Arabidopsis thaliana: one gene and its partners. The main gene of each other region encodes a partner of the protein of the gene in region 3 in a complex. Each region holds a gene or a part of one and is shown on either strand. Other genes may lie near its edges.

Region 1 (11,689 bases), on a different chromosome or scaffold from region 3:
ATAATTTTCTAATTCAATTTCTGGTCACTGGATTTGTCAGGAGTGGAGTCTTGAGCTAGAGGAAGTTTTTGCTCTTGAAAGAGAAGGAGAGTTTGATAAATATGCTCCCCACAGAGAAAAACTTGGCAATAAGATGCTCCTATGGCATGGTAAGCCAACTGCAACCAGCCACATTTACATGCTTTGGGAAACAGATACAAGAAATTTCATTGTTTGGTTGATTCTATATATTTGGCTGGTTGATCATCAAAACCCTTGGTTTAACCAAAATAAATCTGCTTTCAGGTTCTCGATTAACGAATTTTGTTGGAATATTGAACCAAGGACTGAGAATTGCACCTCCAGAAGCTCCTGCTACTGGTTACATGGTCAGTACTCTATCTGTGTCTTATTTGTGGGGATCTTATCAATTGAGAGTTCTTCACTATCTAGTTAACTTGTTAGAGAATCTGAACTTTTTTTAAACCCCATGTTTCAGTTTGGAAAAGGGATATACTTTGCTGACCTTGTCAGTAAAAGTGCTCAGTACTGCTACACTTGTAAGAAAAATCCGGTGGGTCTAATGCTTCTGAGTGAAGTTGCATTGGGAGAAATACATGAGCTAACAAAAGCTAAGGTGAGCCCATATTACAGTTTTTCAGGTTATGCTACTAACCATTTGGTTCTTATCTTGAAAACTATATGAACAACTTAAGATATTACTTACCTTCATATATGACTTTCTCTTATGTCCTCAATTCTTTAGTATATGGATAAACCTCCGAGAGGGAAACACTCGACCAAAGGGCTCGGCAAGAAAGTGCCTCAAGATTCCGAGTTTGCCAAGTGGAGAGGTGATGTGACTGTTCCCTGTGGAAAACCTGTTTCATCAAAGGTCAAGGCTTCTGAGCTTATGTACAATGAGTATATCGTCTACGATACAGCCCAGGTAACTTGTGTTTCCAAAATAATCTTCCTTGTTCCTTACAACAATGGGATATTGCGCACACACTAAAGTCCTCTTTTGTTCTTATCGGGTACTTGGGAATGAGAACTGAATTCCCTAGAAAGCTCATGCTTTAGAATACGGCTTTAGCTATTAGTTTTGCAACATATTCTGTGTTTGATTCTTTTATGGTGTGTACATGTCTGACAAAGATTGCTTTGTCTCTGAACAGGTGAAGTTGCAGTTCTTGTTGAAAGTAAGGTTTAAGCACAAGAGATGAGCCTGAACCAAACAAGAAGACGTCACTTCTGTTAACTAAATGTTTTTTTGGGAAATCGAATCCAACACGAAGACTTAACTTTTGTAACTAAATGTCTTTTGATAAATCGAATCCAACATGTAGTCACAGATTTAACTCTCTGGCGTTGTAGATGTTTCTGGTTTTAAAACAGCGTACACTACATTTTGTTATGCTTTTTCTCAGTAATGACACTTCTTAAGACTTGACACTTGTTCAGATCTGATGTTGTACCTATGAAAGATCATCGAAGAAGTGGTTATTCTCAAAGAGAAAATGGTTGCATGATTCGATCTCTACTATGAAAAATGTCGAAAAGTCGATACAATAGAAAGATTGTAAGGTTCCATCTCTGACAAAGTAGTCACTTGTACTCAAACAGACCAAGGAAAATTGACCTCCTGGTAGTAATTAAGTGATTCATTTGAGCTACAAGGAGACTCATTATGATCCATGGACCGCTCATTGTCGCGTGTAGTACCACTCATTGGGTCGAAGTCTGAGTCCAAGATTCCTTGGTGAAACCAATTGTGAAGATCTTGTGGCATTTGTTGAGCAAGAACCTTTTCTTGTTGCTTCATATTACAACCAGGATCATCTTGAGGGAACCTTCTCGAAGCTTCTTCTCTAAGTAGAACCACTTGTGCTTGTAAACTAACAACCTTAAGAACAAAGTCAGTGAAGTTACTTGTAAGTACACTAGAGATGATGAAGCAAAAGCAAAAAAAAATTATGTATACATTTCCGAAGAAAAAGTATAATACCTGTTGTTGGAGGGAGAAGATTTGGGAGACGCAGCCGTAAATAGGATCATGGAGACGAGAGTGAGCCTCGTAAGAGATGGTTCGTACGGCGTCACATCGGTCATGATCAGGGAGATGAGAAATGAGCTTAGAGAAGTTGCTAGCTCCAAACACTTTGTGAATGGCTGCAAAATTAGAAGATCCTTCTTCGTAGCAAAAGTATGGTGCAAATACACAACCCTCTACACATTTCCTACGCAAGAACTTGCATCCTCCACATGGTGAGCCTAAACCTCCCATTCTCAAAACGTAATTATAATCTATTGATATTAACCAACTATTACTATCTTGTAGGAATATTAATACTTCATTACTTATACTCTTCTAGTGACGATTATATAGTGCACGAGTGTTTATGGTAAAGGACTAAGGTGGGATTTATGATAACTCAACTTGTTATTTTACATATTTGTCTCTCTAATGGCTTACAATTACAAGATTGCAGCTTTTATATTTTCCCTCAAGTTTATATTGTAAAACATCTCTCTAATATTCAATAACTCGTTGTAATATATTATTGAGATTAAACTCTTAAGGTGGAGAATATTCTTAAGAAAATATTGAGAGAACCATATTAATATTAAGATCCGATCAAATGAGAGATTTGGTTGACGTATAGGACAAAACAATGAGTAAACATGAACCAAACCCAAGTTGCTTTTTGTTGTGGTTTTAGCTTTTTTTTAATTCATAACTAATTTACTCTCTTATTTTATTTAGAAAAATAAATTAGAGTTTACTTTTAGTGTTTGTTTAGTTGAAAATTTACATGTACTTGTGAAATTATGTTAAGATTGTTGTCATTATTGCTTAATTTGGAAAACAATAGTTTAAGATTTAACAATGCTCAACATATACACCACATAAGTGATTGAGATGTGTGTAGAATAAGAACAAAGGCATTTGATATTAGTAGTATATGAGACAAGTTATTTCTATATCTCGATTTAAATATTTTAAAATGCTCTCAGTTTCGATCAAACTTTACAGACTAGAAAAATAGAGAGACCCATGATTATCCAGCCCACATATTAATCATGAATCATGATTAACATCAAAAATATTCCAAAATAATTGATCAAGTACAAAAGTTAAATTATTCGATAATAATGAACAACTGATAGTGGATTTATGACTTAATGTTGGTTTAGTGGAGATTAAAAATAGTAAGAAAAATTTGAGTTTGAAGCTTTATTTTTGTTTTCTTATCTATGTTAAGGATTTCGGGTGTCTTTAGATATCCTAACTTGTGCCTAGAGTTTGCGGAAAAGACGGAGTTTTGGTCAAAGAAGGACCGGGGAACAAAGAAATAACAGAACCAGTACGGCCATGGGATCGGTCTCACCAATGACTGATCTAGGACTCCTCAAACAACCCTCATAAGCCACATTGGCCGTGCCCATCAGTCAAATGCAGATCCAATATCCCTGGAGCCAACTAAATAACCCGCATCGATCAACCATCATGGTCATAGAGCCACCGATCTAGCCAACCAAACCATCCGACCAGTAGCTACATCGTTCTGCCATATCGGTCATATTTTTTTATCGATCCTAATCACAACCCATCTGATCCAGAAGCTGCATTGATCCCAACATCGGCCAATGAAACCCAAACATTATACTTACCCTTTGCAAATCCTATTCTACTGGGAAAATAATATAGTGCTCATCTTTTAATTGATGAAACCCGAACATTGCATTTTGAGAAATAGTATGCAGTCGCAAAAGCAAAAGCAAAAGCATATTCAAATGTAGAAAGAAAATATAACATCCTTGTAATTCTTTAACTAATTAGCAATCTTCAATGATTCACATCATTTTCAACAGAGTATGAAGGAGTTAACATTGCAATGAATCTGCAAATTACTTGTACATATACATAACGCCCAACCAGGGTTAGATAGGAGAAGAGACCAAAACAACAAATGTGTGTTCTTCCATGATCTATTAAAAAGCTTCAATATATAGTAACGTGAAAAAACCTGATTGATTAGTCAACGGCTTTAGAATCATTAGAAGAAGATGCCTCACCAGATTCGGAGTGTTCATGGTTATGATCACAGTGATGGTTGTTATCATCTTCTTCTTCACTGTCATCCTCATCAAAAGGCTTCTGTTTATGAAAGATGCAACACTTCTTCGAACTCTTCTTCTGCATAAACTCATTGTCTACAGTCCCATCTTTCCATGAAACTTTCTTCTTCTTCCGGTTCAACCGAAGCACTAATCTTTCAGTAGGTTGTGATTGAGAAACAGGGTTTTCTAATATGACAGAAGTTGTTGCTGAAGAGGAAGGCCTTGTTGCTGTGCTCATAGCTGAAGATTAGCTTTCAAAATCTGCATAAAAGACTAATTTCATAAGGTACCAAAATACAAGAACAGAGAATAAAAGTTCTTAATAGTAACAACTAACAACATGCTTAAGAATGACAAGAGCTAAAGATAAAAACTAAGACCTTAAACAAAATCGTAAAACAGAACAAAGCCTTTAGGGTTCATTCTTTAGGTAAACAAACCAAACAGATGCTATTTCTCTAACCCTAAATTCATTGCCTACGAGATCTGAACCCTAATCATTCCTAATTCCAGGGGATAAACACAAATCGGTGATATGAAATTGAGAATCAAATGTTGCAGTAAACAATAGAGAGACCTAGTTTCGATCGTAGAAACAATAGCGAAACCTAAACCTAGGGGAAAAAAAGATTCAAAGAATCAAATCGACGAAGAAGCAAACCTGTGAATCCCCAAGGAGGAAGGGACGCTTGTTGAATCGAGAAACTTTTTTTTTTTTTCGTTTTGTTTTTTTTTTCTTTCGCCGATGGAGAAATTTAGTCGCTCCAACCAAAAAAAAAAAAAAAAAAAAAATTCGGTCTAATTTTATATTTATTTTCTAAGAAATGTTAATATATATATTAGAAAAAAGACTAATACAGTGTAATTAATTTTGAGAAAACTATAATGTTAACTTATTTGGGATTCGAAAACTGAATATATAGAATGACTTTATAAGTTACTCATACTCATAGTGAGGTTTAGTTCAGATTTTTACATGGATGGATTTGATTAAATCCAATTATGTATATTTAAGTATTTAACTAATGCAGAATTTAGATCTTATTTTTTTTTTTGCTTATTATTATGCTGGGCCGCCCCTAAGACAGGGCCAAGGAAAATAGAAAATGATCTGGTCATAAAAAATTGGGCTATAAGAGTAAAATAAAACACACAAACAAAAACATCCGTCTCTTTCACTTACACTTTCACTTCACGTTTGCGACTGTGTCGTCGTCAAGCTCCGGATCTCATCGGCGTTTCATCATAATTATCTGTCCATCTATTCACCGTACGACTCCGTTTTAGAAATCTGTAGATGTCAATTTGAGAGAAAAGACTGTCTTCATTACAACACATTTGGGACAACAAGGATCACTCATGGCAGTGGTGGATGTTCATCGTTTCGCTGAGTCAATCACTTGCCATGCTTGGAGTCCTGATCTCTCCAGTATGTTTCTAACACCTCTCTGATTTTGTGATTCTCTTCTTTCTCTCTTCCGTCGTTTTTCTGTTTTTAGAATTATAAATGAGGAGGATCTTTAGTTAGTTTTTCTGAATTGACTTGTGTTATTCTTATACATCTTGGTAATCAAGTTTCTTCTAAATCCCTATAATTGAGAATTTTCGAGTCAATGTTTTATATGTCTGTTTGTCGGTGTCTCTTGTTAGGAGCACTTGGTATCTAGTATTGTACATTAGTAGATGCGCTTTTCTAAACAGATGAACCAAATCTATTGTTACAAATGATTTAACGTCTGTACTAAAGCCTGTAACCATTTATGTGCTTTGACATTTGTTTCGTTTTTCTTGGTAGTGGTTGCTCTCTGTCCTAACAACACTGAAGTTCATATCTATAAATCATTGTCTCAAGACCACTGGGAGAGGTTACATGTCCTCCAAAAGGTGAAACCTTTCTCTCTCCCTCTCTTTCTGTAACTTTTGAACTTGCACTCCTTTTGCTTTCTCTTCTTGGGAATTCCTTACTTTCGTATATTTATGTATTCTCATTTCACTGATCACTTGTCGCTGATAAGTGTTGTATAGACAGCTTGAATCTCCCTTACAACAACTTCATGATTATTGTTCGTCTTGTTGCAGCATGACCAAATTGTTTCTGGAATAGATTGGAGCTCAAAGTCCAACAAAATCGTCACTGTTTCTCATGACAGGAACTCGTAAGTTGCTACCTTTGATATACTTTGAGAAACTCCAAACCTGTTAATCTTAGTCCTTCACTTTTTTTCGTTCGTTGAACTGAGTTTAGAATGCTTCTTGAAGGTACGTCTGGAGCCTGGAAGGAGCTGAATGGGTACCAACTCTCGTTATTCTTAGACTAAATCGTGCTGCACTTTGTGTCCAATGGAGCCCCAAAGGTAAATGTTTAATTTTTCTGGTTCTTAAGCTTAATTTCCGTAATATATCATGTAATTTTCCTATAATTTCTACAGCTTCTAATCTATGTTCTCATCTTTTTGCTCAATACCCATAGAGAACAAGTTTGCTGTTGGAAGTGGTGCTAAAACTGTTTGTATTTGCTATTATGAGCAAGAGAATAACTGGTATTTTCTTCTTCTGCTCCTAATTCTCATTATTAGTCCTTGATTTTTTCTTTGGCAAGTTTCCTGACTTCTTTGCTACGAATGGTGTTGTTGGTCTATGTAATGATATTATCTTGTCTTATGTACTGGCATGATATTAGCACCAATCATATTTTTTATTATCTTGGCATGCATAACTGTGTATTGTTTAGAGATTTTAGAAAGATACTTTCATGTAAACTTTTAGTATCTGACATTGCTTGGCTTTACTGTTTGCAGGTGGGTCAGTAAGCTAATCCGGAAAAGGCACGAATCTTCAGTCACATCTGTTGCTTGGCATCCTAATAATGTACGTGCAATCAACAGAACCTCTTGTAGTTCATGTAGCCAAAATATTAAGCAGGCTCTCTGTAAAAGCTTTCTCTACCAAAAATATTCTATAAGTTGGCCACCAGATTGAGTATAGAGTACATGATCCCTAAAAATAGAATATCAATCTCCACAAACTAGTTAATCTTCTAAATCATTTTTTCTCGTATGCTTTTTTATGTTGCTGTGCTCTCTGATTGTCTGTTATGCATTAGGTTCTTCTGGCAACGACATCAACAGATGGAAAATGTCGGGTATTTTCAACATTCATCAAAGGAGTTGACACAAAGTATGCTCATTACTTGAACGTCTACTTTTAAGACATTTTTTCAAACATGAGGCCATTTCTTATTTTTCTTTCAATGGGCTGATACAGGGATTCAAAAGCAGGCTCACCAGCGGAAACGAAATTTGGGGAGGTTCGACTAGTTTGGCTGGCTTTCCTTCTTTTAGTAAATATTATAATTCTTGTGCCATATATATGTTCCGTCTACTCTCTCATCTAATGTTAGGGAGTTTTTTTTTCTACTGTGGCTTTGTTGAAACAGCAAATTCTTCAGCTTGATCTCTCATATTCTTGGGCATTTGGTGTTAAATGGTCTCCAAGTGGAAACACCTTAGCATATGTAGGTCAGAAAATCCTTCAGACTTGGGATGTTTTTCCATTGCGCTCTACTGAAATAATACAATGGAACTTCAACTTGGTTGCAGTTTTTACTACCATCTGTCATACTTTGCGTGTTTATGTAATCATGTATAGGTCATAGCTCCATGATTTACTTTGTTGATGATGTTGGCCCTTCTCCTTTAGCCCAAAGCGTTGCATTCCGAGATTTGCCTCTTCGTGATGTGGGTCAGCATCCACCTTTATTTTACTTTTGAGAACCTGGTTTCTCCGGTGTGTTATGTCCTGAATTGATATATTATGGGGAAATTGCTATTTCAGGTCCTGTTTATTTCTGAGAAAATGGTGATAGGGGTTGGATATGACAGCAACCCGATGGTATTTGCTGCAGATGATACTGGAATATGGTGTGTAACTCTCAGAAATATCTGCTTAAAATTCTCTTTCTTAGGGGTTTGCATACTATCAAATTTTCAGTTCTTTTATTCCTCTTAGATCACAGGCCGGATTGTTGGTTCTGAAACGAACCACTACCAATAATTGCTTCGTTTACAAGTTTTTGTATTTGGTCTGTAGGAGCTTCATAAGATACATTGGAGAGAAGAAAGCGGCATCTTCAGGTTCCAGTTACAGTTCGCAGGTACATACCAAATCTTCTTTCTTATATTGCAATATGTCTGGTTTTAGCCTTTTAGTGAAAAAAATATGACTGAACTTTAACTTATCCCTGAGTTGTTCCTCTAAAGATCGTAATCTTTGGGGGTTAGTGTAGTTCCTCTCTTTCTTTTTTTCTTGGATTTACGATACGACTTTCCACTTGCATTATTTTGTTGTGTTGTGTCTGACACATCTGTTCATTATGTTATTTTTCAGTTTTCCGAAGCGTTTGGAAAATTCTACGGTAGTCAATCAAAGTCTACAACAGCCAACGATGCTTCTGATTCACGTGGAGGCGTTCATGATAACAGCATAACGTAATTGTTTCTTTATCTAACTTGGCTTGTACCAAATCATTTGCCAAAAAACTGTCTCTTTAGCTCTTTTACTTGATTATCTGTTAAGAGCTGACGTAGAAGTTTACCTGCAGTTCCATTGTGCCTCTGGGCAAAGGAGGGAGTCCTAAAGTTATGCGATTCAGCACTTCAGGTCAGTCACTAAATTTAAATTTATATAACCCTTCATGGAATCACCCGATTCAATTCATACAAAATGACAGGTTTCATTAGCTCGCATTTTCGGTTTATTATTTATAGGATTGGATGGCAAAATAGCCATATGGGATCTAGAGAACATGCAACAAGAACTTGGCAATCAGTTTTAATAAAATCTGGATCAGTAGTCAGCTTACTTAATTTGTATATCAGATTTTGTTTCGACTAGCCTTTTCACCTTTTTCCAATTTCGTAATTGTCACACTTGGTAAACTGCATAATAAAGGCCATGTTTTCCTGGTTTGTGTAAGGGCAGGTGTTATTAAGTTTTGAGCTATGCCCTTGTCTCTGGATCTTTGTAATATCTTGAATGCTCTATCATTTGATTCATTATACGAGTTGGTATCTTGTATATTAACATAATAACATTTTCAGCTTTGTGTCGAATGAGTTCTCCGGACAACAACCACAGAAATGAATGCTATATATCAACAAACTTGAAATGAATCTTTTCATCTGTGATGATATATACAATCCAGAATGAAGCTGACACTAGTATCATCTGACATAATCATCGGGGAATCAAAAGCTCCGCTTAATATCTGTGTAATCAAAACATGGCTTACATCAACTGAAGCACGTACGTACGGTCTTCAGGGGTTAGAAAATTTGACCACTGGTATGTCCTTTAGGAAGCTGCAAGGTGACTTTATACACAGACCAAATGTGAAACCAAGAACACATATCGGGAAAATTCCAAGTACGTGCAAATGTTTTCACTCAATTTCTGGACCACGTTCATGAAGTATATAGCATTGTTTCAGAGAACTCTTAACTCTTGATTCCCGCCCAAACTGAACTAAGTGAAAGTATTCCAGCTGCCTTAATTCACAGATTCTATCTTGATCTAGCATCTGCGGGGAACAACTCGTATTTTGCATTTGTTTACAAGCATATTGTGATCTTCGTAGCTTTCAGAAAAAGCACAACGTCTTAGAGATTGCAGACTATATAGGTAAATTTTTCTCCATTGGGTGTCACTGAAGAGAATCTGAAGAGAACGTCCAACTTTACCAGAATGTTCTTATTGGGTGTCACTGAAGAGAATCTGATAAAACCTTTTTCTCTCTTCTGGATCAAACAGACCACCTGGTCGATCCCCATGGTTTTCTTCTTCATCGACATCATCTCGATCGTGGTTCCTGTCTTTCTTTCGCACCACAGGCTTCAAAGATTCAATACCTTTCTCTCTCTTCTTCTCTAGATTAGCCAAATATCGCCTGTGATTATACTCATACAAGCCCTGCTGCATCAATTCCCCAAATTTATCCTTCACAACAACGAGCGGGTCCTTGTGAATCAATTCCGAGCCATTGTATCCTTCTCTGAGGATCACAGTGTGAACCTGATACTTGTTTCCAACGTAGAATATGCCTGGATGCTTCAGAAGCATACCATTTAGCTTCTCCGGTAACCCAAATTCCCTCTTGAAATGACTCAGCTTTACGATTGACAGCTTTTTCCACAACGTCAACGAGAGTAACTCGTGCACCAAACCAACACTTCTCTTCTCACTCTCCTTTGAACCCTCAACAAGATCCCCATGATCCTCATACGGAGATATGTAAGGAAAGGCATTAAACTCCATGAACCTCTCCCACGGTTTGGTCCACGTGGAAGGTAGAGAGCAAGAGAAACTAGGCTCAGAGCCACATTTCTTTGCTGCTGCTTCAACTGCAGAGACAGCCAACTCAGGCTTCCACAACAAAAGCTCAATCTCCATTGAACTCTTCCTACCACTATAATTCACTAACCGAAACACATCTGAGTACTTTGGAACTATTCTGATAACATAATCATCAGGGAATCCAAAGCTCCGCTTAAACTCGTTAAGCTTCACGACATTGAGACGCTGATTAACACTCAACATAAGCAGCTTTGCAAGCCTATCTGCGAGTACAGGCTCTTGTGTATCTTTGACCAACTCTTCCTCTTCCACAAGCGTCATCATCGGTTTCGTTAACCTACAGTAATACTCATCGTTCTCGAGATAAACATGGAAACAACAAGGGTATTTCTTAAGCCAATTCAAGGCTTTCCCCTGAAGATCAAGAGTCTTAAACTTCTTCTGTAGAAACTTAATCGATGCAACCTGATTGGGACACCTTAAGATAATGTTCTTGAGCCGACTGTTAACAATCCATCGCTTGTTACGCGAGAGAGCAGATTCGAGATCAGGGTCTTTCTTCGTTGACCAAAGTGAGAATCTTCGGATTAACAATGGAGCATACTTGGTACCCAGAATCCGATATAACTCTCGTGTCATAGCCATATCAGTCTCTGACTACCAAACCTAATCAAACTCAAACTTCAATTATTGACGAATGCGATTGGTTATAAGCAAAAAGAAATAGAAAAGCCTCCACCTTTAGAGTATCAGAGGAGCAAAACAGAACCCTAATACCGCCACGAAGGAAGTATGATCGGAGGAGATAAGCGAGGAGCAGAAAGGAGAAGCCTTTGAAGTCGATTCATCAGACTCAACAACGCCACAGTTTCGACAAGAGGTAGAAAAGAGATTTTGCTTCTGAACCCGAGATTCGAAGGAACAAATTTTATGCCCTTACTCTCTGCAGCGAAGAGACTGTGGCAGAACAGGGACTAGTGCTGGTGAAAGTGAAAGCTTTCTTCTTTCTAAGACTTCTTTGTTTGGGTTTAGTGTTTGTTGTTTACTCAGTTTTGATTATGATAATTACAATGCATGCTTGCAAATTTCTAACCATTAATTTATAATTCCACAGCTTGCAAATCAAACGTATGAAGAAAATCAAAGTTTCAAGTCATGTATATATACAAACTTCAAAGGGTCCAAAAACTCAAAAGCAAACAAATGCAAATCATAAACACACTAAACACTCAAC
Region 2 (9,528 bases), about 11 Mb from region 3:
TGAAAGGTGTCAAGTTGTTATGTGTATAATGTCGTCTCTCCTAAATCAAGTTTACCTATCAACAGTTAATTATCAAATAATCTATTGTAAGACTTTTTAGATTTTCTTGTTAGACATGGCTTTATGTTTTCTAGTTTTTTTTTATGGATGTTCTTTAGTAAATTTCTATCTCTTAAAACAAAATTGAAATTCTATGTTGCAACTATATGTAGGATTGATTATAAATTTTTATATTCTTTCATTGATTCTTACTCGTAAACTATATTGCAATGAGTAAACTTAAAAGTGAAGTATCTTGGACTTCATCCATGTTGTTACGGGTTGGATTCAACGTCAAAGTTTCGTTGAAAGTTTGTTGCTATAGTTTTCTATATATATATCACATGCATTGTAATTAGGTTGCTATAGTGTACAATACATGTAAAATATACAAAACTATAGCAACAAAGTTTTAGATACTTAATTGCTTCCTTTAATCTCAAACCATTTGGTTGAATCTATCAAGTACACAGGACATATGCTCATTCAAATTGGGTAACTAAGAGCACCCCCAACGCTGGACTCTATGAAAATCCCTTAAAAACATACAAATAATAATATTTTAATCTTATTAGGGCTTCTGTATAATTTGACCAATAATAAAAACACATGTATATAATTTTCTCGAGACTGTCCCTTAAATAAAGAATTTTAGGGCCTCTCTCTCTTCTTACACTTACCTTTTAATTATTTTTCATTCTTTTTATCATTAGAAATTTTGTTAAGGGACCACCGTTGGTGGTCCTCTAATCACGCATGGAGTCTAGACGAAATAAGAAACGCATTAATAAGACATATATTATTTTTTGGTGAAAGTATAATGTAGACAAAAAAAAAAGATAAAGCTTTTGTTTTCTTAGACATAACCCAAAGAACATACCATATATATAGCAGAATTAGATTAAAAACAGTCAGATCAGAAAACAAAACAATCTGAATAGCTAATTGCACAAAAAGCTAGGGTTTTGTTAAGGATTTTCCGAGTTTAATACCGGGAACTGATCCTCGTGAATTGTCGAGATAGCGCTTAATGTTTTGTAAATATTTAATATTAACCCCAAATATTCGATTTTGACCAATTTATACCCCATCGAGATATTTCTACTGCTGACTTTTTAGTGTTTTGTATTTGACCTCGTTTGATGGACGAACCGGAATATAATTGTGTTGGTTGGTCAACCATTTGTTTTTAGCATTTTCTGGTCTTTAATTAATCGCTAAGTAATCTAATTCTGGATTAAGAAGAAAAAAAAACTTCAAAAGAGACGCTTTTATACAACGCTTTGAGCATTACTTGGCCCTCTCAAAAGAATACACAGACCAGTCTTCGTGTGCTCGTAATTGGCGATTCTCAAATTCGATCTCCGTACAAACAATGGCCGAAACCTCGAAGCAAGTCAACGGCGACGATGCCCAGGATCTTCACTCGCTTCTTTCTTCTCCGGCGAGGGATTTCCTCGTTCGTAATGACGGCGAACAGGTAAAATAGTTTTTGACGTGATTTTGAGTTTATGGTCTTCGATCGCAACTTCTTCTGATCTTCGATAACGATCCTGTGATTGTCTCGCGATTCTTTGAACCGACTCTTCTGGTTTACAGAATATAGATAGCTTCGTGTAGTTGATTGATTTGCTATAGATGACTTTAATCGATTGCTTTCAAGTGTTAAGATTCATTCAGTGCTTGGTCCTTTATTGATTTGGCTTGTGTCTATTTCACATGGCTTATGTTGTTTGGGTAGAGTTTAATTTTTTATGCATTTTTATGATGTTTAGGTGAAAGTTGACAGCTTGTTAGGGAAGAAGATTGGATTGTATTTTTCAGCTGCTTGGTGTGGACCGTGTCAGCGGTTTACTCCACAGCTGGTGGAAGTCTACAACGAGCTCTCTTCGAAAGTTGGTTTTGAGATTGTGTTTGTGTCAGGTGATGAGGATGAAGAGTCATTTGGAGATTATTTCAGAAAGATGCCCTGGCTCGCTGTTCCGTTTACTGATTCGGAAACCCGTGACCGTTTGGATGAGTTGTTTAAGGTTAGGGGAATACCTAACCTAGTGATGGTTGATGATCATGGTAAACTTGTGAATGAGAATGGTGTTGGGGTCATACGAAGCTATGGAGCTGATGCTTATCCTTTCACACCAGAGAAAATGAAGGAGATCAAAGAGGATGAAGATAGAGCTCGGAGAGGACAGACCTTAAGATCTGTCTTGGTGACTCCTTCACGAGACTTTGTGATTTCGCCTGACGGAAACAAGGTGCACATTAATAGCTTGTGAGATCAGATTCTTTTTCGTCAATAGGAAGATTATATCTATACAAGACTCTTGCATTAGTTAGTTATTACGGACCTGTTTCTCTTTTGTTGACTTAATGAGACCGATCAATTGCATATTCATTAGGTACCCGTATCAGAGCTTGAGGGAAAAACCATTGGCCTTCTCTTCTCTGTGGCCTCTTACAGGAAATGCACAGAGCTTACTCCAAAGCTTGTTGAGTTTTATACGAAGCTGAAGGAGAATAAGGAGGATTTTGAGATTGTGTTGATATCTCTTGAAGATGATGAGGAGTCTTTTAATCAAGACTTCAAGACCAAGCCATGGCTAGCATTGCCGTTCAACGACAAAAGTGGATCAAAATTGGCTCGGCATTTCATGCTGTCAACACTACCGACACTGGTCATTCTCGGCCCTGATGGAAAAACCCGTCACTCGAATGTCGCTGAAGCTATTGATGACTATGGAGTTCTTGCGTATCCTTTCACTCCAGAGAAGTTTCAAGAACTCAAGGAGCTAGAAAAGGCAAAGGTAGAGGCTCAAACGCTCGAGTCACTTCTTGTCTCAGGTGATCTCAACTACGTTCTCGGAAAAGATGGGGCAAAGGTATAGCTCTCGATACCCTCTTCATTTTCTAAACACTGTTCTTCAAGGCTGATCTGAACCAACCTGTAAAAATTTGGCTTTCTTTGTTAGGTGCTTGTTTCGGATCTGGTGGGGAAGACTATTCTTATGTACTTCTCAGCTCACTGGTGTCCTCCTTGTCGCGCTTTTACACCAAAGCTTGTTGAAGTATACAAGCAGATAAAGGAGCGGAATGAAGCGTTTGAATTGATCTTCATCTCCAGTGACCGTGACCAGGAATCATTCGATGAGTACTATTCGCAAATGCCGTGGCTGGCTCTTCCATTTGGTGATCCTAGGAAAGCATCCTTGGCAAAAACCTTTAAGGTTGGTGGGATCCCAATGCTAGCAGCTCTGGGACCAACTGGGCAAACCGTAACAAAAGAAGCAAGGGACCTTGTCGTAGCCCATGGAGCCGATGCTTACCCTTTTACTGAGGAACGTTTGAAGGAGATTGAAGCTAAGTACGATGAGATAGCAAAAGATTGGCCTAAGAAGGTGAAACATGTTCTCCATGAAGAACATGAGCTAGAACTAACTCGTGTTCAGGTTTACACATGCGATAAGTGTGAGGAAGAAGGGACAATATGGTCTTACCATTGCGACGAATGCGACTTTGATCTTCACGCCAAGTGTGCTTTAAACGAGGACACAAAAGAAAACGGCGATGAGGCTGTGAAAGTTGGTGGCGACGAGTCCAAAGATGGTTGGGTTTGTGAAGGAAACGTATGCACCAAGGCCTGATAGGTAGCTTCAGGCACAGTTATGTCACTATGTGTATGCAAAGCTATTTCCTTTCTTTGTATAATTGCTAAGAGTGAGAATGTGTGGTTACAATCTGATATCTGATTAAGACCTTGGAGATAAACTCTGTTAATCTAAAGTAATAATAAAAGAATCTTCTTATTTAACTTTGATCTTGTATCAACAAATTTTATATTCCAACAGGAGTTGTATGAAACAATACATTGGCACACTCTATGTATATATCAAGAGATACAGAGAGAGAGCATTCTGCTCTCAGATGAAATTTTCGTCTTCCTGGTTCCAGTGGCTAACACCTATGCAGAGGAAGCTAAAGGTGGCGATTCTCATGATCTCCAGTGGCTTTGGATTCCCTCATTCGTAATGGGCAGCAAGCAAGGAAGAATAACCAGCTGCTAAATTATGAAAAAATCAGATCAAAAGAAAAACATTTTAAGCTTGAAATGTAGAACTGTTTGAGATGGATCTAAGATCACGTGGGATTTTGGATCCAGTAAACTAAAGTGATACTTACCAGTGATTCTCTGTTTTATCATAGGACGACCACGTTCATGAATTTCCTCTTGGCGAATGCAAGCCACCATTTATTTGGTGTCCCGTTGGCTCTATATGCTACACTCAGTAACCTCCCACTTGTCTCCTCTCGAACCTGCTTAAGATAGTTCCTGAAAAGCTCTGACATTTGAAGCCAAACAGAACACAAGGCTAAGGACCAAGTAACTGAAAGAAAAATCAATAAGAGTTGTTTAGACATGTATATATACCTGCTTCGTCCTGGGACTGCGGAAGCGAAAAGAGACCTGGGAAAGGAAAGCCAGTTTCTCCAGGAACAGGAATATCTTCTAAACCCAAGTTGATAATCGCTTTAGTTCCAACAGCCAATGTTCTACAGCCTTCAAGCCTCTTTAACGCCACATTTATATAAAACGTCAAGTAAATAAGGAGCTTATCAGCAGGACTTTTGATATCAAAGTTTGTGAAGAAGACATTAGCACGAAAGAAGGTGATTGCCTCGTCTACTATATCAGTTTTATCTGCATATAAAACCAACAATTTACAAAAGCTTTCGATCGCACAATTGAAAAAAATCACATGTTTTGATTAATTACCTTGTTCTGAAACAGGTGCAGGACCTTTTATATGACTCTTGAGAGGAAGCAATGGACAACCACATGCCTTTGTTACTCCTTCTTCATCCACAAAACTCGAGTGATAAACCTGATCAGAGCATTTAATCACAAGGATTAAGGAAACAAAATGAGCATCGCAGAGTTAAATACTCCATGGAACCAAATCAAAGTGAAACAAGCTCAATAAATAAAAAAAATCTCATCGAAGATCTAATCTAATTTCATTAGTTACAAAATGAAATGCGATTAATGCTAATTGAAAGATAAGAAAATGGTGATCCGTACCATTTTGTGCCGAATTTGAACAATGAAGCGATATCAGGAAGGAGAAGAATCGAATCGAAGGTAGATCTGCTGCAATTAAGATCTTGGATATATAAGAATCAGAATTTAGGTGAACGATTGATTCTATAGATGAAGAAAGAAAAAGTTTTTACCTAAACGAGATCAGATCAATTTCAACTTCTTTAGCGTCTACGAAAGAGGAAAGACTGCGTAAAGTTCACACGGTGAAGAATCCTTCGTGATGTTGCGGCGGTCGGAGATTGTCTTATTGGGAAGCTTAATCGCCGGCTGAAGAAGAAATTGAAATGGAAAATCGACGAAGTAGGAAAAAGGAATGAAGAACAGAAGAAGAAGAAGACAGAGAGGTATGGATGACACGTGTAAGACTCCATGAATGTGGTACATTGCTTCGTACCGGGAGTAACCAATGTTAAATCCGGCTTAGCTTTGATTTTTGAGTTTCTCGGTTTTTTTATTTGAAATTTGGTTTCTTATCGACCACTGGAATTAGGTACATCAAAAACCAAATAATGATGTGGTTCATTCTTCGGTTCAGTTTCGGGTTACATCAAAGTGGTTTGACCGGATTAAACATTGATCTTCAATCAACAACAACAACAAAATGTCCATATAAGTGTCAAGTTTCTGTTATTTCTGCTGAATGGATAAAAACTTGTTACATAAGCAATATACAAAACTTAGTAAACAAAGGCTAAACAGAAATGCACAAATACTTGCAATGCACCGGACTAAACCGAGATTTAAAGAAGCTCTAGTGAGATTTAATAAGTGTGTTTGATTCTTTGTGTGATATATAGTACAAGTTACATTGGTCATACATGAATATTAATACGTGAATCATCTTACATAAATGTGTCTAACATTCAACAAACTAGTAATGAGCAGCTCTTGACTCAAACAGTTGATTAAACATATTTCTACACTGAATTGATAATAATACAACTGGTGATAACTAAACTAAATTGATGCTACATTCTATGGTCTCGCTTTCGTTTAAATTTGAAGTTACTGGGATGTGCCGAAAGTTATGACCTGAACAGTTGAGAATTGCTCTTTGCACAGTGTGATGATGCGGTTTTAAATCGTTATGGCTCTGGTCATTGTAGCTCGTGAAAGCGCCTAATGCTCCAAGAAACCCTTCATGTCGTAAAAACATTGCCTTTGCCTCACCTCTCGACCTGAAATGAGAAGGAAAAATGAGAAAGTTCGATAAAGATTTTGTGGACATACATGAGTTTAAGATATGGAGGGATTTGATTAAGTAGTTTCGGTTTTGGATTTACCAAAAGTGAACAGCAACGGAGATTGTGTCCATGGTGTACTCAAGCCCACGGATGAAAAATCCACCAAAGAAAATACGCTTAAGACCGAATCTGAGAGCATTCAAATAAGCAATCTGGAGGGAGAGTAGAAAACGTTACAATTCGATCAGAATATCATCAGCTTCAAATTATGTTTTAAAATGGCATTAAAATGTTCAGAGGAACTGACCTGACCGATGTTATTTGATATCATTCTTAGAAGGGACCTTGCCACATCTTCTGGCTGGTAATCTTCAAGTTCTTTACCATCAGAAATCGCTTTCCCAAAGCTGGAAGCGATAGCTGTTGAGGAGAGACCAATCTATCAAAAAAGAATGAACAAAAGGTTATATTAACATATGAATCTAATCTAAAAGTCTTCAGACATGTTTAAGCAAAACCAGGATCAATCAATTACCTTTGAATAATCTGTTCCACCGTAGATATCCCCCACAAGCATGTCAATTACTCTGTTATTTCCATGGTGGCTTAACTCTAGCAGCTCATCAAAACTGAAATTAAGAAATATTAGTTGTTACTCAGGCAAGGAGGAAACTTACATTAATAGACTTAACTAAGAAGTCACCTCTTGCATTTTGTTAAAAGCTTCCCAAGACCTAAAAATGTGCCTCCGCCAAGGCTTGTTCCACTTATCCTCTCATATTTTCCATCTCCATCGACCTATATAAGAACGAGTTTGAGTAAGCAACATCGCTGGTGTAGTAGCAAACAAAAACAGAGAGATCAGAGAAACCAAAACCAGAATGAACCTTGATCATGCTAACGCCAGAACCGATGTTGACTAGTAGATATGGATACAAATCATTATGGTCGATCTCGACAAACTTCTTTTGGCCATCTAAGTAGGTAAAAGCTTCCCTTGGGACAGTCTGCAATCATGCAATAATCTATTGTTAATTTAAAATGGCAGAAATAAGAAGTTTATCAAAAACTATTCTGCCACAGATGCTTTTAATGCAATGAAGAAACTATCGGTTAAAAAACCTCAGGGAGCACAGCTCATTTAATCAAAATTGCAAATGATCACCATCTTCAAATTTATAATGTCCTAAATGTTAATGTAGCTATATTTTCAGTCTTATAGACGTTAGTCTGCAACAACACTCAGGCCAAGATCACTATCAGGGAAACATAATACAACTTCACTCATAAAGAATTAGCAAAAAGTGTTGACAAAGATGAGTGATAGCAACGTGTAGCCTAGACTATTCAGAGTACATATATATCCTCATGTGGGTTATGTTTGAGGAAAAATGAATAGAAGATGATGATAGGATAGAAAAAAAAATCAAACCTTTAGTAGAAAATTAACACCACCAACAAGAGAACACATCTCATCTTCCTTATCGAAAAGAATACCAAGTTTCTCCTTAAAGAGATCAGCAAACTTAAATGCCCCACCACCTGTGGCCTTTGGAATAATATACCATACCATAATCAACTTACAAACAAAAATCCCACTTCAACATTCTTCATTACAAAGCTTTATCCAAACTATAACCGATGCTAGCTTTTACCTTAACATAAAGTTTATCATGACCTTCGCCATTCGGTTGCTGTACACCTGAATAGTTACCTCTGTCAGTGAAATATCAAAAGAACTCAACTTTTCTCGAAATCAGTAAGCTAATGACTCATACATTACTACTGCAAATAGACATAATACTTCTGAGTACATATGAATCCGATTATGAATCAGAGGTTAGGATCATAAAAATCAAAACTTTACCGGAATGATGAAGGATATTGAATCGAATAAACTCCAAACAATCATCAATCTTTCTAGTCTCAAACTTAGCGAAACAAAGCCTTCCTTTCACAACAGAGCAACCATTACGAGACTCTTCGCTATAATCTCCATTTGCAGAGAAATACACAAGCTTGATCAGAGTCCCTACGAAACCAGAAAAAAAAAAACCCCAATTCCGGTTAATTCGAGACAAACCCAGAACCGAAAAATTCTAAAACTGAATGAAACAAAGCCAAGTTTGGATTTTTAAATTACCTCCGATGTCGAGAGCCAAATGAGAGATTTGAGTCGGATCCATGGCGGGTTTTTTGTTTGGGTTTTTGCAAAATTCTCTTTTTTCAACGTTAAATAGAAATAAATTTCAACGATCAACTACTTTGGATCTAAACCATCTATCTACTTCTTCTCTCTTTCTCCATGGCTGACTTGTTGTTGTTGTTTTTTCTTCTTCATGGAGCGATGTTTGGCTGTATTGATTGCGTCAATAATTTTTCTTTTAAAAAGAAAGAGAGACGAATTTTGCTGACCTGTCATTTAGTCTTCTCCGGATTGGATAGAAAATAGTATTTTTTTTTTTTCTGTGCGTTAAACTAAAATGTAAGAAACTGAAAAGTAATCTAAAGGTGTTTTGTTTTGACCAAAAAAAATAGAATTTGAAATACAAACGCTCTCCCAGAATAGAAATAATTTCGATGCCAAAAAATAAAATAATAATAACAACTTTTTTCAAATCTATATATAAAACTTAGAGGTGTTTTCGTTGTATAGAAAAATATTTCATTTTCTGTACTACTAATTTTCTGTTTAAACAAACAAAAAAAGACTTTTAAAGAAAAATAAAAAATTTACTTGTGTAGTTTAATTGAATGGAAAATTCTACGCCTATTCAACAAATCGAATCAAATATGAGCAGTAAATGCTTTCATTGACTTCAAATCAAGTTCCACCGCATTGCTGATAACCTTGTCGTATTAAGAGATATGGAAGTGCTTCTCCTACGTCTTGTCGTATTCAAGACATGGAAGTGTTTTGTCGACCACTTGTAATAACAGTTACTGACATAAACCATACATTCACTCGCGTTTCTGACCTTGTTGATAGGCCCACGAAGAACATTGGTTGGGATGGTCGGGGCATTTGATGATAACATGTGACGGACTAGTTCACAGTATATATGGGAAAAACTCAATTTCTGAGTTCAAAAATATAAAAATCATAATCGTGGGCCTAAGAGTTAGGGTTAGGTTGGTTAAACCCACGAATCGTGTTTGAGTTGTTTATGCCTCCCCTCCCCCCATTGTTAAATAATTGCCTACTTT
Region 3 (9,862 bases):
CTACCCTTTCTTTCTCCTTTATTTCCAATTTATTTTTTATTTAGTTTCTCTAAAATTTAACACATTAAAATAATAGAATTGTTAGTTTGAAAAATATAAAATAATACATGTACTGTTGCGTTACCTATAAATCTATGATATCCATTTTTTTTTTTTGATAAAATAGCCAAATGAATATTGAACTCAGTATTTTCATAACAACATCCAAACAAAATTAGTTGTATTAGTTTATTAGTGACTAAGATTCGGTTATAGAAAAAGTTGAATATCTTAAGTCAGGTGGCTATAATTTAAGCCAAACTATATAAATTTATTAATTATGTATCATGTTTTCTTATTTTCAAACTACAGTAAATGATTATCTATATCAGTAAATGAATATAAATAAGTTAGCAAAAATCTAATCTAATCAAGTGGTTGGATTTTTTTGACATGCATGGAGTTAAGAGATTAGGGTTCAAGTTCTTTTATTAAAAATTTAATAATACTGTAGATCCTTCATTACTGCAAATATTTTAAATGCGAAGAATGCACTACTTTCATTTAATTTCAAGACTTATTTGGATTTTGGTATTAAAAATTTTAGTTATAAAAAAGAAATATGAACTAATCTGCACATTGAAAAAGGACGAGGATCGAACATATACAAATGCAACATATAGGTCCAACAACATGGAATTAACATTCGATAGTTTTCCACCTATTAATAAAGAATTATTTAAATATTAGGTGCAAAAACTCTTACTCTTAACACCAAATGTAAAATCAAAATAATTTTCTAGTTTTACAAGTTACAACACATATATCACACTCCAATTTTACTTCCCCAAAAAAACTTACAACGCATACAAATTTCCGGATTTGAATATAAATATAATTATGACATATATAATAGTACGATTATTTTCTTTAAAAAAAAAAAAAGATTATAGTTGGTTTTATCAGCACATGTCTCTAGGTTATAGGCTTTGGTTAAAAAGGGAGTTTATATTAGTACTAAGTGTAAACAAGTAATTTGTATGCAAATTATTCATTTTTGCCTGATAACAATTTTATGCGTGGTCGCTGTTGTTAAATTAATTAGATTTGAAGTAATGGTTTATAATAAAATCGAGCCGTGTAAAATTCGCGTTGATGAGTCAATGCATCGTCACGTGAGATCTTTAAGTCTTAACCACTCACTGCGTTACAAGATCTCCAAATCAAACAAAATCTAGTTTAGTTTGCGGTGAAAATGAGATAAACAAAACAAAGGGACCACACTAATCCAATAAAACAAAATTTTTTTTTACTGTTGATAAAACAGGTTCCAAATTATTGTTGCTTCCTAAACGTTTTGCGATTAGTGCATAACAAGTGATTGATATGATTAGTGCTGAACAAAATGTATTTGTCAACAAGATGAAATGATAAAATTATATATCTTTTTGTTACAGTAGTTAAATCATTTAATATATCGACTCTGTTTAATTAGAACTAAACTAAAATGTGAAGGTTTCATTGGTTTCCATTTAAACCTGTGACAATAATCCCATGTAGTATATATGCGATAATGACCACCTACTGCCACACAAATGCAATATATACATACACATGCATACTCTTGCAATAAACTATTTTCGCCACTAATCATGCTGCTGTATTATGATGGTCTGTAAACCAAATTATATAATCATATATTGTCACTTTTACTACCCTTTCGTAGAATTATTTTCTTTTAAGATAATTTGTCCAAAAACATCACGCATGACTCATGATTGCTACATACCTGAGAAAAGCTGAGATATTTATTGCAAAATATTAATATTTGGTACGACTAATTATCTGGCTGAACATGAGTGTACATAGAATATCCACGTTAATGTGGTTCGAACCTAGATTAATAATAGAATGATCAGTACTTGTTGTATATATTATATAGCTAGCCATAAAACGTTACAGAAAGAGCGTATAGAAGATGAAGTAGAGCATCCCGTGATGGGCAAACTAGAAATTCGGTGGTTTCTCCGACATATAATGAGACAAAATAAGGTTCGAAATTAAAGTTAGTCCATGTGATCACTCGGATTCACGTTCATTATACGAATATGAATGAATCTGTTTCAAACATTTAGCACATGCATGTGACATGTGATTTTACTTGGTTTGATAATTTACGTGTTGCATTTTGTAACACAACTCTTAAAACATCTGGGTCAACATATTAGACTATATAGTTGTGTTTATATATGGTCTATCGTCTAGAATTACGGAGCTATTTGTCACGGCCCACAAGTGCAATGAAATGAAATTTAATTCATAAGTTTAGATTATCCACTGGAGTATGTATACTGTCCTACAAGAATCTTTCACTTAATATACATAGAAGTATTTTATATTATATAGACGTATATTAGTCACTTTATTGACGTTTACAGAATATGAAAAAATGATGGGCCTTCGCAATTGTACGTACTCGACAACATGCGTGGCGATGACTCACCTTATCCATATTTGATATTACTTTTTCTAGTACTCCTTGTTTTTACATCACTTTCTGGTAATATTTAATTAGAAATTTAGAACCCTAGACTTTGACACGGTAAATTTTAATAATAATAATATATAGTTGTATTAGAACAGTTAAGAAGTCTCACGAGTTCATAATCAGTTTTGCTTACTAGCTAACTGTATAAATAATTATGCTGGAATCTAACAATTCAAAATTAACTTTGCTTGAGAGTTTTATACCAAACACAAAAGTACAATTTAGTCTAGACTCTAGAAAAGATAAATTCTTATTGCGAAAAATAAAAATTGCAATATATATACAATAGAAGTTTTGGGAGGGATGGTTTGGAAGTTTTAACTATCTCCATGACTCGACATATAAAAATGTAAATATCATTGTTCAGCTAAATGAGCTACCATCGATTAGTTAAAAATAACATTCTTTTACGTCAACCAATCTATGGTTTAGGGGTTAAAATTTTCACTCTCAATATAAGAGGAAAGGTTTAAGTTTTTATCAAAGTTTTCCGGTTATAGAAATAACGTACGTACGACTGTTTTCTTTTTCTGCTTTTTTCAGATTTTCTAAAATCAGTACTTGGTCTTATATATAGATCGATATGCAAATATGCAATGGCGAAGATACGTCCCTAGCGGCTCCTCTTTTGCCAAGACCATGTCACGATCTATCTTACAAACGTTACTCATTTTACTATATCTACTTTTTTCTCCCTAATATAAATATAACTTCGCATATTTATTCATGAATATTTATGCTAAGAAAAGCCATCACATGCATTTATAGTATGTAAGCTTATGTCGATGCAGTAGGACCATATCCGTATATATGTGTGTGCGTATAGATACGTGAGATAGTTTTGCTTTTGAGGCTCCTTCATCTCTCACATCCGTCTGCCCACGATCAATTTCAAAATAGACAATTTTAAAGCTAAAAAATAATAATTTCTTTTTATATGTAGATGTAGCTTTCATATCTAACCTAAAAATATTTGTCGTCAAAGTAAAAAAACTTAATAAGAATATTATTTAAAGAGCTTTAAACTAATATTAACTATAAATCGTTCGTATACTATTGTTCGTTAAATTACATTTAGAGACTATACTAGTCTACTTTAATATCAATAAAAATAAAAACTTCACATGCATATGTTATTTGTCTTTATCCCACTCTGGCCAATTTAAATTTGAAAATATACGTAGACTTATAGATCAAATATCTTATCTTTTCATTGTTGAAAAAACTAATGTAACATTCTAATTAGTTAAATATCTCCACTTACAAAAAGAAAAGAGCCATATCTTATCCAAATTAATCTCTCAATTTTAAAAGCACACATTAAACGGTCAAATTCCAACTTTTGTTAGATTAAAATATTATGAAGACGTCAGATAATACGAAAACATTGCTCCACTAATTTTTGTCGTTTATTTCCATTCAAATAATCATATATCTGGAATCTAAAATATAAAATATCATTTAATTTACGTGCTTATTTTTTTTTTAAAAACCTTCGTCAGATTACAATCAACATAGCCAGGTATAATCAAAAGCCAGAGAAAAAATAATAATACAAATGTTAAAATCTGAAGGAAAAAAAAAAATCTAGAAAACACTACTAGTTTGCCACTGTCAAAACAAACATACAGATATTTGCAACATTAAATATTTTTGAAACGTTTAAGCTCAAATTGTATATTTATGAAATGGGCTCAGCTTATACTACATAGTATTTACATAATTGGGCCTATGGGCCATTTAAATTCATAAAAAATATAAAGTACAGAAATAACGAAACGGCGTCGTTACACTTAGCTGAGTAGCTGAGTAATAAAATTGAACAAATTAGTAAAATTCCAAAAAGTTATCGAAGAAACGTTCAAGCTGTGACAGAGAATCTCGGTCGTCTTCGTTTGTCTCCGACGAGCTCTCTTTCTTCTCCGATTAGATCCCGTGAGAAGAACTCAAAGGCTCTAGGGTTTCTCTGTGATTCAGTTAACTCCTTTAGATATCGTAAGAAAGTAATCGATGATACTATTGCAGTCACATTCAAGGTTTCTTCTTCAAACGCTATTGACGCGAGCTCAAAAGTAAGTGCTTTTCAATTCTTAATTAGGTACACTCTTAGTTTTACCTAATCTACAATAAGACCCATTTTTTATTTTGGTCGATTTGATTTTGATTTTGTGAAGAAATCTGAAACATTTTGGAAGAACTGGGTTTTGTAGAATGGAACCAAAGTTCAATACTTTGCTTGATTTTGTTTATGTTTTGGTTCAGTCTTGATAAAGCAGTGGAGCTAGATTATCAATGGATTGAATTTGATGATGTTCGTTACCATGTTCAGGTGTGAATTTTATACCAACATTTGAGTATTTGACCTCTGAGATCCATATGATCTTGTTCAATGTTCTGAGACTATATGAATTTTGTTTGATAGGTGACAATGAAGAATCCAAATCTGTTGTTGCTTTCGGTTTCGTTACCAAATCCACCACCTGAAGCAATGTCCTTTGATGGACTTCCTTTAGGAGCTATAGAAGCTATTAAAACCACTTACGGGACAGGTTTTCAAATACTTGATCCTCCTAGAGATGGTTTTAGTTTAACCCTCAAGCTCAATTTCTCTAAAGTTCGTCCTGATGAAGGTTTTTAAACGAGTCTCTTTCTCTAATTGATAAGATGTTGTTTTGATTTAGATGTTGGTTTTGTTCTCTAATAGAAAGTATCTATGTTTTGGCAGAGTTATTAACGAAGCTAGCTTCCATTAGAGAAGTGGTGATGGGTGCACCGTTAAAAATCATTTTCAAGCATTTAGCTTCAAGGACGGTTGCTCCTGAGCTGGATAGGCTTGTAGCAATTATGCATAGACCTAACGAGACGTTTTTCCTCGTGCCTCAGGTATATATATACTCTATAGGTCTTTCGTATGTAGCCATTGAAGTAGGTTCTTATGATTAGTAAGAATCTAGAGAGTGATAGAGAACTTAACTGTGTATCACAGGCGGATAAAGTCACTGTGGCATTTCCTATGAGATTTAAAGACTCCGTAGACACGATTCTGGCGACTTCTTTCCTTAAGGTGACAAAATGATCAAAGCTAAATTTTCAAACAGGTTTTGATTTCTGTAGTACTGAAACTTTGGATATAATGATATAGGAATTTGTAGAGGCGAGGCGTGCTGCTGCGCTTAATACTGCTCCTTCTTGTTCTTGGTCTCCAACCGCACCGCAGGAATTAGAGGGAGCTCCTAAAGAAACACTATCCGCTAATGCCGGTTTTGTAACTTTTGGTATGATCTTTCTAAAATATATTCTGTTCGAACTCAATTTGCATTGGTAGTACCAATCTGAAAGAAACTAACTTTGAGATTATCGATATATCGCAGTCATTTTTCCTCGGCATGTGGAAGGGAAAAAGCTCGATCGTACTGTCTGGAATTTATCGACCTTTCATGCTTATGTTAGTTATCACGTCAAGGTTCATATTCTTTATCGAACTTTCATGTTTTCTACTTTCATATTCTCTAAATACCAGAACTTAGTCTCTCTATCTTAGTATGGATTTGTAAAACTGAGTTTTTGTTCGTTTGTTGTTATATCACAGTTCTCAGAGGGATTTATGCACACCAGGATGCGGCGTCGCGTGGAATCTATGATTCAGGTAAAACACCAAACTCATTACATTCGACTTGGATATGCGTTCTTTAGTTAACAAAATCTTGTTGTCTCAGGCTCTGGATCAAGCTAAGCCATTGGAGAAAACAAGATCGATGAACAACAAGTCATTTAAACGGCTAGTAAGTTGCGAAACAATTTGTTTTTCGACAGACTTTTTCTTTGTTTGTTTGCATTGTTTTTGAGCTTTGTTTCCTCTTCCTCACAGGGACTCAACGAGGTCAATCACACCAACTCGAAGTAGTTGGATTTCTCACGAAGCAATTTTGTAAAAACTTGTGATTAGCTGAGACATGTATTTTTTTTACTGGATTAAGTCTCTGTGATATTTATTTTAGTACAATTCTTTCAGATATTTCTATACATCTGATCTTGCTAAATATTTGAACAAATGTATAATGTGAAAATTGTAAGAAACTCACCTTGATATGGACTGTGTCTGGTCTTGATCTAAACATGGTGTTTTCAACAGAAAATAAAGTTTTTGTTTTGTTTTATAATTGTTTTTACAAAAATGAAGAAGATGAATCTTTATTGTTCTTCAGATTCTCAGATAGTCAAATTAAATGAAGTAATATTCGTACCAACAAATAGTCGTAAAAGTTGATTTTCATATAAAAACAAACGTTCAATTTATCCTTATACACAGATGTATCAAAGATTTGTAGTGATCTAGTAAGGTATAAGAAGAAGATTCAAAGGTCGCACGAGTAAATTAACGATTCCTTCGTAGTATACTTTTGAGGCCCATAAATTATGACTGGGCATATATTGTTAGGTTTCATTGTATCAAAAAATGAAATAAAAAGCAATTAACTGGCTTCGCCCGGGTTCGAACCGGAGACCTTCAGTGTGTTAGACTGACGTGATAACCAACTACACCACGAAACCTTTTTGTCTTCTTGATGTTGGTTTAACATATTCTATCTTCCTTACTGATCACCTTCACATTTTCGCAAACCATTGTATAATCTCTCATTAGCTCTAAGGACTAGAATATTGTTTCGAGAATGGATAAAGAAGCTGGAATAGTATTTGATATAAATGATGTTTTATGTCTTGCGTTAAAGAAATTTTGTCTGATTATTTTCGGATATGAAGTTGTATTTCACCAAAATCCTTTTAATACTAGACCATAATATCGATTTGATAACATACGATTTATATACTACGGTAGATTCAGATTATACAATATAGCATACAAACTGTGATAATTTTGCATCATACCGATTACCGTACTACGTTACGTTGTCGTTTTGGTGTTTGTATTATAACAGATTCATTTTTCTAGATAATTATGGTTTGAGTTTTATTATTACTTTTTTGATAATGATTAGCTGGGTATCGAATATCGATTACCAAGATTAGGTTTTGGTTTTGCGTAAATAGTACTCCTCCTTTTGGCTTGGTAAAAAAAACATAAAATTTAAATGTGAGTTTGTGGTAATCCATATAAAGCGTGAGAACTATTTTAAAATTTTAATGAAATCACAACAAGGACACTAGATTTATTTTCGCAAATTTCTCGTATTTATCTTATTATTGGTTTTATTCAGATAAGAGAGATTAGAACTAAAAAATTCTACAAACATGGAACCAAACTACATAAATAAAATAATATAAAAGAATAATGAACTAATTATTTTTAAATTATTGAAATTGTCTCTATTTTTTTTTCTATTTTTTTAATGGTTTCTAAGAAAATTAGAAATCTCTAATTTTTCTTCTATATAAATAAAAATAGAGATAAGTTAAAGTAAAATGAAAGCAAAAATAAAGTATAGAGATGGCTTGGAAATGCTCTTAGAAAGATGAAAGTAGAGTAGCATGATGCTCAGGTAGCGGGCGTGTGAGACACATGTGTTTTCTGCTCCTTTCCAAAAACAGATTAGGGTTTTAGAAACATATCGACATTTTGCCTTACTCGTATTTTTGGCATTTTTGCATTTCTTGCTAGTGTCATGAGGAAACTTCCTTTATTTTATGATTCAACGATATCGTTTTTAGCGGTAAATGACAGAGTGTTTAAGTTATTTGCAGTTCGAGATCTTGCTCGACGTGTCTAAATTCTCATCTATATCGATTTCTATTTCTAGATAGCCTCTCTTCCTCGTACTAGCTCGAGGACATCTAGCATATTTGAGAGATTCATTTATGTTTGTCACTGAGGTTCCTTGATTCAACGTCTGGTTGCTACATCTTTAATCGGTTCTAGTTGCGATTAAAAACAACATCGATTTTTGCATGGTGCTTCCAAACCTTGGTCTCCCACTTTTTCGTATTTTAGATTCAGAAGGAGCGATGGTTTTCTAGTTTCTTTTGTATCCTATTGCTCGTGTGATAGTTCTCTTTGGTTGTTGTAGCGGTTTCTATTGGGTCTTTGGTTAGTTCTAATAGCATATGACTTAAAAGGAGAAATTTCTATCGATGAGTCTCTTTTAGCAGCTTGAAGCTTGTAGAAGAAGATAGTTTTAGACGAATGTTGCCAGATGATACGGGATCTCGACTAGTAGTGTCGGAGTGTCTGAGATCACAATGTTCTCAATTTTGGATGATTCACTTGTTTACAGTTTGATAGTGTCGATTGCTTGCTGAAAGTATGTAAGTTATGACGATATAAGTTTTCGAACGTTATCCTTACACCCCGGATGCTCGTGGCAACTTGAAGCTAATAGGCTTAATTAAATTAAAGTGTTGGAAAAGAAATGGGCTTAAGAGATGGCCTAGCTCACGTTGGAGCTCCGGTGGTTGTCGGGTCTGGTCTTGAAAGGAGGAAACAAGTCACTATGTTCTTCACGTCCCTAAAGAATAGGTCCTCTTCGCTTCCTCAACTCCTTGAGAATATGAGTCGTTGAAGTATCAAGTCACCCACTACCTCCTATATTTCTATTTGACTTGGTTTTGATTTTGTGAAGAAGCAAATTAAAACCTAAGTATCTCAACTCTATATAAGAAGGTTAGGCTTCTAAGTATTTGTGGATCCACTAGCAGATTAACACTTGAACGTTCAAACATCTTTCAAAAGCAAAACATCTCCATCAATCTCTCTCTGTCTTAAAGTAAGTCTCGAGAGTATCGTAGAAACTTGTTCGTTAGAGTTGTGTTTCGAGTGCTGCGAAATCAGTTTATAGAGGTTGTATCCTGGGATCCTTGAATCACACATAAACCGTCACACTACGGGTGAATCTTCGGTTTAATTTTTGTGGTGGGTTTACATGGTAAAACTGTTAATTCTTTCTTCAGTGGCGTCGGGTTTGGTAACTCCTCGGAGGTGGTAAGTTTTTTCTGCGATTCGACTTCCGTTATGATCATTGGCTTGAATTCATGGTCTCATCGGAGATTATCATCGCAAAAGATATCAGCGCTACGTTTTCTAAGGTATTTAGGTCTGGCCTTAGATCACGGCTGCTCGTGGCAACAATATTAATATTTCGATTTTGAGAGCCAATATCACCATTGTGTGCTTATGTTGTTGGTTTCTTTGTTTGGTTATAATTTTTATTTTATTTTATTTTGTTTGTTTTTATAAATTTCGGTTTTTTCGTTTTTTGGTATTATCTCTTTCTTTTCATACTTTTTTTTTTAATAATATTATGAAATGTAAGATGAAAAATAACAAAATTAAATTAAAACATTAAATTATATTTAAAAAGTGGGAGAGAGAAAGTTAAACTG

The links.
Region 1: DIS2 (region 3) and ARPC1B share a complex: the UniProt entries of both Arabidopsis thaliana proteins name them as parts of the arp2/3 complex.
Region 2: DIS2 (region 3) and ARPC3 share a complex: the UniProt entries of both Arabidopsis thaliana proteins name them as parts of the arp2/3 complex.

The regions. Positions count from the first base shown.
Region 1 is NC_003071.7:13,343,562-13,355,250, reverse strand, and holds ARPC1B (actin-related protein C1B), read left to right. Parts: upstream 1-5,251; 5' UTR 5,252-5,463; coding exon 5,464-5,533; intron 5,534-5,899; coding exon 5,900-5,988; intron 5,989-6,183; coding exon 6,184-6,260; intron 6,261-6,363; coding exon 6,364-6,458; intron 6,459-6,574; coding exon 6,575-6,644; intron 6,645-6,902; coding exon 6,903-6,972; intron 6,973-7,207; coding exon 7,208-7,281; intron 7,282-7,368; coding exon 7,369-7,411; intron 7,412-7,540; coding exon 7,541-7,622; intron 7,623-7,752; coding exon 7,753-7,841; intron 7,842-7,938; coding exon 7,939-8,024; intron 8,025-8,193; coding exon 8,194-8,257; intron 8,258-8,490; coding exon 8,491-8,591; intron 8,592-8,704; coding exon 8,705-8,763; intron 8,764-8,870; coding exon of another isoform or gene 8,871-8,938; exon of another isoform or gene 8,939-9,203; coding exon 9,204-9,274; downstream 9,275-11,689. Other genes in the region: PARP1 (poly(ADP-ribose) polymerase 2), read left to right, coding at 41-149, 286-368, 479-616, 746-928, 1,158-1,205; LBD14 (LOB domain-containing protein 14), read right to left, coding at 1,598-1,885, 1,988-2,266; INH3 (inhibitor-3), read right to left, coding at 4,019-4,342; AT2G31290 (Ubiquitin carboxyl-terminal hydrolase family protein), read right to left, coding at 9,853-11,100. UniProt on the Arabidopsis thaliana protein: Functions as a component of the Arp2/3 complex which is involved in regulation of actin polymerization and together with an activating nucleation-promoting factor (NPF) mediates the formation of branched actin networks.
Region 2 is NC_003070.9:22,260,564-22,270,091, forward strand, and holds ARPC3 (actin-related protein C3), read right to left. Parts: upstream 5,514-9,528; 5' UTR 5,269-5,513; intron 5,199-5,268; exon of another isoform or gene 5,186-5,198; 5' UTR 5,120-5,185; coding exon 5,117-5,119; intron 4,920-5,116; coding exon 4,811-4,919; intron 4,736-4,810; coding exon 4,466-4,735; coding exon of another isoform or gene 4,434-4,465; intron 4,377-4,433; coding exon 4,234-4,376; 3' UTR 4,216-4,233; intron 4,094-4,215; 3' UTR 3,822-4,093; downstream 1-3,821. Other genes in the region: AT1G60420 (DC1 domain-containing protein), read left to right, coding at 1,415-1,519, 1,815-2,294, 2,439-2,918, 3,009-3,680; PANK1 (pantothenate kinase 1), read right to left, coding at 6,090-6,315, 6,421-6,533, 6,629-6,760, 6,857-6,950, 7,025-7,119, 7,209-7,328, 7,754-7,870, 7,977-8,023 and 2 more. UniProt on the Arabidopsis thaliana protein: Functions as a component of the Arp2/3 complex which is involved in regulation of actin polymerization and together with an activating nucleation-promoting factor (NPF) mediates the formation of branched actin networks.
Region 3 is NC_003070.9:10,956,569-10,966,430, forward strand, and holds DIS2 (Arp2/3 complex, 34 kD subunit p34-Arc), read left to right. Parts: upstream 1-4,339; 5' UTR 4,340-4,537; coding exon 4,538-4,599; intron 4,600-4,789; coding exon 4,790-4,856; intron 4,857-4,949; coding exon 4,950-5,157; intron 5,158-5,252; coding exon 5,253-5,410; intron 5,411-5,513; coding exon 5,514-5,591; intron 5,592-5,669; coding exon 5,670-5,802; intron 5,803-5,898; coding exon 5,899-5,990; intron 5,991-6,116; coding exon 6,117-6,173; intron 6,174-6,243; coding exon 6,244-6,309; intron 6,310-6,395; coding exon 6,396-6,431; 3' UTR 6,432-6,663; downstream 6,664-9,862. UniProt on the Arabidopsis thaliana protein: Functions as actin-binding component of the Arp2/3 complex which is involved in regulation of actin polymerization and together with an activating nucleation-promoting factor (NPF) mediates the formation of branched actin networks.